2 linked regions of the Danio rerio genome follow. The protein of the gene in region 2 interacts with the protein of the main gene of each other region in a pairwise test. Links are inferred from orthologs where the notes say so. Each region holds a gene or a part of one and is shown on either strand. Other genes may lie near its edges.

Evidence for each region.
Region 1: the proteins of naif1 (region 2) and sox14 interact in binary tests that used the Homo sapiens proteins (3 or more experiments, as listed by UniProt). The two-hybrid records come from large-scale screens. The link is inferred for Danio rerio from reciprocal best matches to the Homo sapiens genes NAIF1 and SOX14.

The regions. Positions count from the first base shown.
Region 1 is NC_133181.1:29,053,161-29,057,070, forward strand, and holds sox14 (transcription factor Sox-14), read right to left. Parts: upstream 2,547-3,910; 5' UTR 2,149-2,546; coding exon 1,432-2,148; 3' UTR 604-1,431; downstream 1-603. UniProt on the Homo sapiens protein: Acts as a negative regulator of transcription.
Region 2 is NC_133183.1:3,871,904-3,876,233, forward strand, and holds the start of naif1 (nuclear apoptosis-inducing factor 1), read left to right. Parts: upstream 1-1,391; coding exon 1,392-1,773; coding exon of another isoform or gene 1,774-1,827; intron 1,828-4,330. UniProt on the Homo sapiens protein: Induces apoptosis.

The sequences.
Region 1 (3,910 bases), on a different chromosome or scaffold from region 2:
CACACATTTAGAAGCACCTGACGCTTTGTTCGATTGTTTTATACTAAATTGTTTTGTAATACTGGATGACATGGCTCATACGCGCACCACCCCTTCTTCAGTCCAATTTTCATCCTATTGTGGATCTCGGAGTAAATCACAATTCATGTTTGCCCTCAGTTTCCCTAAGCGTCTCTGTACAGTAATTGTTTTGCCATTTAATTTGGACAGAGGGTCCCTAAAGAGCATTCGGGAACGCCACGCGCTGACAGAGTTCATCTCAAATCTATGCCGAAAAGCCAGATGGTTATTAAGACTGCTACGGCCGAAACGCTGGATTATTTAAGCGGTGCTGATTGAGAAGATAATTATTGTAGATATCTAATCAGAGTACGACAAATATCTGTTTTATGCTAAGCAGGCAAGGCCTGTATACTTCTATATGCCCGAGAAAAATTGTAGATTTTAAGGTAGAAATAAAACACGGTATAACTGGATAAATAAAAACTATTAAACGCGTGTTCGGGTTCACCTTATTTCCAACATGCCTCTTGGCACGACCGTACAACAACATAGTAAACAACAATTCAATATTGGTTTAAATAGGCAATATGAGAAAGGTGATGAATTTTTAAGACAGATTGTCTTTATTCAAAATGTCTTTGCTCTGCAAATGAACAAAGAATCGAGGTATCACCCTTTTTTAGATACATTTTCCTTTCCATAAACATGACAGGATTTAAGTTACCATCGCAGATAAAAAATACAACATGAACTGTTTCGCTTCAAACTTTGTAGTTTCTGAAATCAAATGAACGAGTGACTAGCACTGAACCACAGAAAAAGAAATGTCCAAAAAAAAAAGAAAAAAAAAAGATTATAATTATTTTTTTCACTTGAAATTTTAAATAGACTGTCTAATTTTAGGTGACGGTTTTTATAATGATAAACAATATAACCCGTATATTCTATTAAACGCTGAATTCCTCACTTTGAAACCCTAGTTTCATTTGAATTTCAGAGTGCCAAAAATAATGGTAAATACATCAGGCTGTACAAGAAAAATTCTAACCGTTAGTTGTGCAAATCAAAGTCTTTCAAATAATAATAATAATAATATGAGGAGAATAACAATTATATTAACTGTTCAAACAAAATTATCATTATTATAGCATCAAATTGTACATAATAAATAAAATTAAAGGCATCCAAATTCGGTAGCCATAATAATAAACGTTTGAACATTTACATTTCTTACAGTTCTGGGCACCTGCCTTACATCTATTCCAAGATCCATGCTGGGATCCGAGGAACCTCTCGTAGATGGTGAAAAAGTTCGTGTCCACCGGCTTCAGTAGTATAAATGTCTCGATCATTCCTCTCTTCTTATGTACATGCATTGCTGTATTCAAGTTTTCAAAGAGGAGATTGTTTGTTTTGTTTGTGGTGGAGTCACATAGCAGCGGCGTGTGCTGAAGAGTACGGGTCAATCCCACTCTTGGTCATACCTGGGAAGAGTATGTAGGCAACAGGCGGCTGTAAACTCGACGCCGACCATGCGGTGCAGTTACACGGCACCACGTACCCCGGGTTTGTTGGCGACGGGTGGGTGTGAGTGTGCTGGCTGGGGCAACCCAGGCTCCCGAATGCACCGTTCTGGTATCCCAGAGATGATGCGTAAGGTAAAGTGCTGGTGGCCAACGTGTGGGGCATCTCTGTCATCTTCTGAATGGCGCTGGAGCTGAACTGGCTCGGGTCGAGGAAGGAGTAAGGGGCAGATGTAGGTGGCAGGAACGCACGGGCTTTTTCCGAAGAACCTAAGAGTGAGTCCGTGGCTGAGACCGGAAGTCCTTTCAGGTGATCCGTGTCGCCCAGGTAGGGCAGAGGAAACACGTACCTGTCCTTCTTGAGGAGGTTCTTGGGTTTGCGCCTGGGTCTGTATTTGTAGTCTGGGTGTTCTTTCATGTGCTGAGCCCTCAGCCTCTTGGCCTCGTCGATGTACGGTCGCTTCTCGGATTCAGACAGCAGCTTCCACTCGGCGCCGAGTCTTTTGCTTATTTCGGAATTGTGCATTTTGGGATTCTCTTGAGCCATTTTCCTTCTCTGGCCTCTTGACCAGACCATGAAGGCGTTCATGGGTCTCTTGATGTGATCTGCCGGTTTTGACATGTTCACGGCGTCCGTTTAAAATTTCCCTACTAAAATAACAACAAAAAAGTTCTTCAAGCAACGAAGAGATAATGGTATTCACCTGTCCTGCAGACAGACTCGGATCATGCCAGTTCTAGAGAGCCGGAGGAGCAGGAAAGCGGCATCAATGAGAGAGAAGAGATGAAAAAAATCCAGTAATTCTTCCGTGTTTGTCGTTTAGTTGAATTATGACGACTCTTCAAAACGACACTATTCGGCTGAGAGAAGAACAGCCACGCGCGCCACAAAATCCAGCACGGGAAGCGAAGTTTCCGCGATCTGTTTGCTCGCTTTTTTTCTCGGAGGATTCTCGCCCCGCGAAGCACCTGGCTGGGAAATGAGGAGAAGCGCGTGAATGAGAGCCAAAAGCGGTGAAGTTCAAAGGCTGGGCTGGTTCGCTCTGCACGCGATCTGACATAATCGCAGGGCGTTCACGCGCCAACCTGAGCGCCCAATCAGCTCTGAGAAAGCCACATAATACCTACCAAAATATGTATATTACAACACAAACAAAGATCGGGGAGGAAAAGGAGGTGACTCTCTTCCCTCCCCAAATCCATTTAGTTGAAGGTCTACAAACACAGACCTTCAACCTTTTTGTAATAAAACCTGACATCTACCAGCGTCAATCCTTCAGAGACGACAGATGCCTGAAGAAAAGACAAATTCTTATTTTAAACATAGTAAGCACGCTTTTATGTGTACACTTAAAGTTTAGCCTTATTTATGAAAAATATGTTGACGATTAAACTGACGTTTAGCTTACAATACAACAATAACAACAACAACAATACATATTTTATACATTACACATTTAACTACTACTACTACTACTACTATTATTATTATTATTATTATTATTATTATTATTACTTTATAATTACTTCCTTGGAGCTACCCCCTATCCGTTCATTAACAGTTTATTTTGGTAAGAAAACATGACAAAAATGTATCTTATCATTCACTCAATCACTAAAACAACGCACCAGGCTACTGAAATGTCTGAACAAGAGGAAAATAAAAAGACAAACGGTTTTTAAAATCAGTGAAAATAAGCGCGCTGTCTGAGGCAGTGGCCCCCAGGCTAATATTTCCTAAATGAGAACAATTGTCCAAAGCTCTCCTGGGACGGGCTGGGTTGGGGCTTGCACCTGTTTTGCTGCTGTAATCTCACATGTGTAGAACATGCCCATGGACCCTTTGGTAACATACCCACGCAAATTCGGCATTTGAAAAACAATGCCAGTTGCTCATAGGATCATTACATCCCACAAATAATCAAACGCAGATGAAAACCTTGAGCTGTGAGATGTTTTTTTGTTTTCAAATGTTCACGTTCCTAACAAATATTTGCGCGAATTATGGAGGGAATTTTTTTTTATGAAATAGTTAAAATTTCAAGTAATTGCTTTTAAATATTAGACTCGTGGTCACAATAAAGTCACCTGCATTATTTTAAGCTCTGCATTGAAGCTGCGGTTAATTATCCCTGATCTTTCTCGTGATCTCTTTCTCCCTTCCTCCTTTGTATCTGACAAATAAACTTCCGAATTTATTTGTAATTGTCAAAATCGACACAGATGTGTGAACCGAAATATTTCTAATTCAAGGCGATGTTTTGTGTTAAGGTTCGCGCACCAAAAACCTTTAAGATGCAAATTTAAGTGTTTAAAAAGATCAGGGTCCTAATGAGCCCGAGGCAAGAGCTTGATATATGAGAGGCACGGGTGTAATTATTAAG
Region 2 (4,330 bases):
ATTCTGTGTGTGCTCCGGTTTCCTCCACAGTCCAAAGACATGCAGTACAGGTGAATTGGGTAAGCTAAATTGTCCATAGTGTATGCGTGTGAATGAGTGAGTATGGATATTTCCCAATGATGGGTTGCAGCTGGAACGGCATTCGCTGTGTAAAACATATGCTGGCGACCCCTGATTAATAAAGGGACTAAGCCTAAGAAAGGGAAACGAATGAATGAATGAATGAATTTTTTTTTTTTATTGTAGAACTACTGACAGGATTTGTAGTCATACTAATACCCAAGTCATGCTAACAATGTCTGATTATGTGTTATGGTGTTTTCTGCTCTGAAAATGCTAAACAGGACCCATTGGGGATTATTAATTAACTTTTTTACTGATGCTTGAAACACTATTTGTCTTTAAAAAGATTTCATTCAAAAATTAACATTTGATTTATCTTAAATGTTTCTAAATTATTAATCTGCCTGAGTTTCTTTTTTTTTTGTTGAATATAAAAAGAAGAAACTTTGAAGTATGTTGGAAACACAGTAACCATTGATTATCATTCAAATGCAAAACCATTTGTTTTCCCAACTATGGAAGTCACAGGTTACCAACATATTCTCATTATCTTTCCATCTTTTGTGTTTAACAGAATACATTTAATCAAACTTGTGAGAAGTGAAGGAAAGAAAATTAAAATATTTTTCTCTTCTGGAGAAGATCTTATTTTATTTCAGCAAGAATAAAAGTGTTTTTAATGAAACATTTTAAGGTCAATATTATTATCCCCCTTACGCAATATTTATTTTATTGTCTACTTTCTTAATTAACCTAGTTAAGCCTTAAAATGTCACTTTAAGATGAATACTAGTGTCTTGAAAAATATCTAGTCTAATATTATTTACTGTCATCATGGCAAAGATAAAATAAATCAGTTATTAAAAATAAGTTATTAAAACTATTGTTTAGAAATGTGTTGAAAAAAATCTTTCCGTTAAACAAAAATTGGGGAAGAAAAATAAAATAATTAGGATTGAACAGGAGTGCTAATAATCCTGAATTCAAATGTGTGTACTGTACACGCACGCACACATATATAATTTGTTGTTCAACAGCTCCCTCCTATGGCCATCAATAATTATACCACAAACGTATCAGCGACTGACAACACTTTCCACCAATGAAAAGAAAGATCGTCACCGCCAACGACGAATCTAAACCAATAGGAACCGCCCGATCTGAAAATAGGCGGACCGTCAGCCATTTGCGTCCACGAACGTTCTCTTTGGAAGAGAAGTCGATTCCAGAAGCCATTACGCTGCGCAATAGTGTTGGGACAAAAACGTACTATTTTTACGTATTCTACGCAATTTCCCCCCCTCTCCATCCGTCAAATTTACAACGTTATGGCATCTCAGGCCAAAAAGAGAAAAACGAACTTCTCCGAGAGGGAGGTGGAGATCATCGTGGAGGAGATGGAAAAGCAGAAGCATATTTTGGTGAATCACTTTAACGCGGGCGTCACGCACATCGCCAAAAACAGCGCGTGGATGGAGATCCTGAAGCGCGTGAACGCCGTGAGCACCTGCCAGCGCGAGCTCGCCGAAGTCAAGAAGAAATGGTCGGATCTGAAGACGGAGGTGCGGCGGAAAGTGGCGCAGGCTCGAGCCGCCATGGAGGGCACGGGCGACTGCACCACCGTGCCGGTGATCCTGACCTCCATGCAGCAGCGCATCTGCAATCTGCTGGGCGAAGCGACCATCATCAGCCTCCCGGCGGCGGACGCGGGTACGGAGATCGCGGTGCCTATCAGCTCCGCAGCCGCCGTCACTTTAACGCAAAGTAAGACACTAGCGTTAGCCCTACGCAACTTACCATGCGGAAACTGAGCGCGCTAATGCGTTTCTTACTTAGAGACTTTGTCTTGTTTGTAGTCCAAAATATCTAAACATAATTAAATCAACAGGCATTTTCTAGACAAAGTAAATGAAAAAAAAACAAACATATATAGTTATTTTCAGAAATAAATTACAGTCAAGTTTAGGTATATAGTACATTTCCATATACAATTGTAATTGAAAGTGCTTTAAATAAACAAGACGATTAAAATAAAGAATAATAAAATAAGCACACAAGTATAAGAATTAAAAACGAATAGAAATGAGTTAAAACATGGTTAAAAGGAATAAACAAGAAATAAAGTAAAAATTAAATGAGTTTTTGTTTTAAACAAGGTGTTTTTGTTTTTAATCTGTCATTGGTTTTAGTAAAATAGTCTTGATTTTGGTTTGAAATAAGTACATTTCACTACCCCATTGTCAGATTATTGTGCTTGTTTTTTAGGAAAACATGCAAATTAAACTATATATTTTCACTTGTCAAAAATGCTTCTTGATTGAATATGTTTTTAATTTTTGGACTAGAAACAAGACAAAAACAATAATAAGAAATGTATATATTTTTTTTGCTTGGAACAAACATTTTCTTTATTTGGAAAAACACAATTTATATTTCATGTTTATCACCTTAAATACATTAAGGCAATTCTACTGTACTCAGTTTACCTTTAAAATGTTGTTTACCAACATAAAAACACACTGTAGTAGGCTAAGGCTTAAGCTAAGCAATGTATAGTTATTAATGTTTTTGAGTATTCGAAATACTGAATATATTATACAACACTTCATTATCGAATGCTAGTAGTATCAACTATCTGATAAACTGTCATTTTAATGGAGTCATTTGTTTATATTAGTTGTTGTGTTACCATAGCATTACCAAAACAGATAAGCTCAAGTACTTTACTAATGCATAGCGTGATTCACAAACACCATAGTATTTACTGTAGTATTTTTAATGAGGATACAAAAGCTAATAAGCAGGGTTCACACAGGGTCATGGAAAACATGGAAAAGTCATGGAATTTTGACGTGGCATTTTCCAGGCCTGGAAAAGTTTTGGAAAAACAGAAAAAGTCACGGAAATTACATTCACATTTAGTCGTTTAGCAGACGCTTTTGTCTAAAGCGACTTAAGCTGTGGTCACGTTAGAGCATGTACTTGCGAAATTCTGTCGTATGGCGCTGTGAAAAGGGGCGGGGTTAAACGATATGATTAGACATTAATATAAGTGAGCGATTGCTCCATATTTTAAATGTCTTATTTTAAATGATTTTCTATTGGTCTCATGCAGTCACCTGATGTGATTTCGCAGGTAAGAATTCACCAAGCTTGAACTTTCGAATGCAGTAAAATGCGAAACACGTGCTTGTGTTTCTGCACTGCAAAAAATGCTTTTCTTACTTAGATTTTTTGTCTTGTTTCTAGTCCAAATATCTAAAAATTCCTAAATCAAGAAGAATTTTCTAGACAAGCAAAACATATTGTCTTGTTTTGAGAAATAATATGCCAATATTAAGTGAGTTTTTCCTTAAAACAAGCTAAATAATCTGCCAATGGGGTAAGCAAAATAATCTTACGTCAAAAGAAAAAACAAGATGTATTTGCTCACCCCATTGGCAGATTATTTTGCTTGTTTTAAGGAAAAACTCACTTAATATTGGAATATCCCTGCAGTGGATGGTGTTAGCCTGATGATAAGCGGTGCCTGTTTTTCTTTAAACACGCCTGGAATTCACTCCAAAGAGTTCCAGTTTAGTCTCATCAGACTAAAGACTAGTTTCTTATGGTCTGAGAGTCCTTCAGATGCCTTTCAGGTGTCAAGTGTCTTCCGTCTGGCCACTCTACCATGCAGGCCTGTTTGATGGATTGCTGCACAGATGGTTGTCCTTCTGTAAGGTTCTCCTCTCTCCACATAAGAACGCTGGAGCTCAGACTGAGTGACAATCGGGTTATTGATCACCTCCCTGACTAAGGCACTTCTCCCCCGATCACTCAGCTTAGATGTCCGACCAGCTCTAGGAAGAGTCCTGGTGGTTCCAAACATCTTCCACTTACGGATGAGGGAGGCAGCTGTGCTCACTGGAATTTTCAGAGCAGCAGAAATGTTTCTGTAACCTTCCCCAGCCTTGTGCCTCGAGACAATTCTGTCTCAGAGGTCTAAAGACAATTCCTTTGTCTTCATGCTTGGTTTGTGCTTTGACATGCACTGTCAACCCTGGGAGCTTATATAGACAGTGTATGCCTTATCAAATCATGTCCAATCAGCTGAATTGACCACAGGTGAACTCCAATGAAGCTGCTGAAACATCTCAAGAATGATCAGTGGAAACAGAATGTACCTGAGCTCAATTTACAGCTTCACAGCAAAGGCTGTGAATACTACTGCACATGTTTCAGCTTTTTATTTTTTAATAAATTTGAAACAATTTCAAGAATCTTTTTT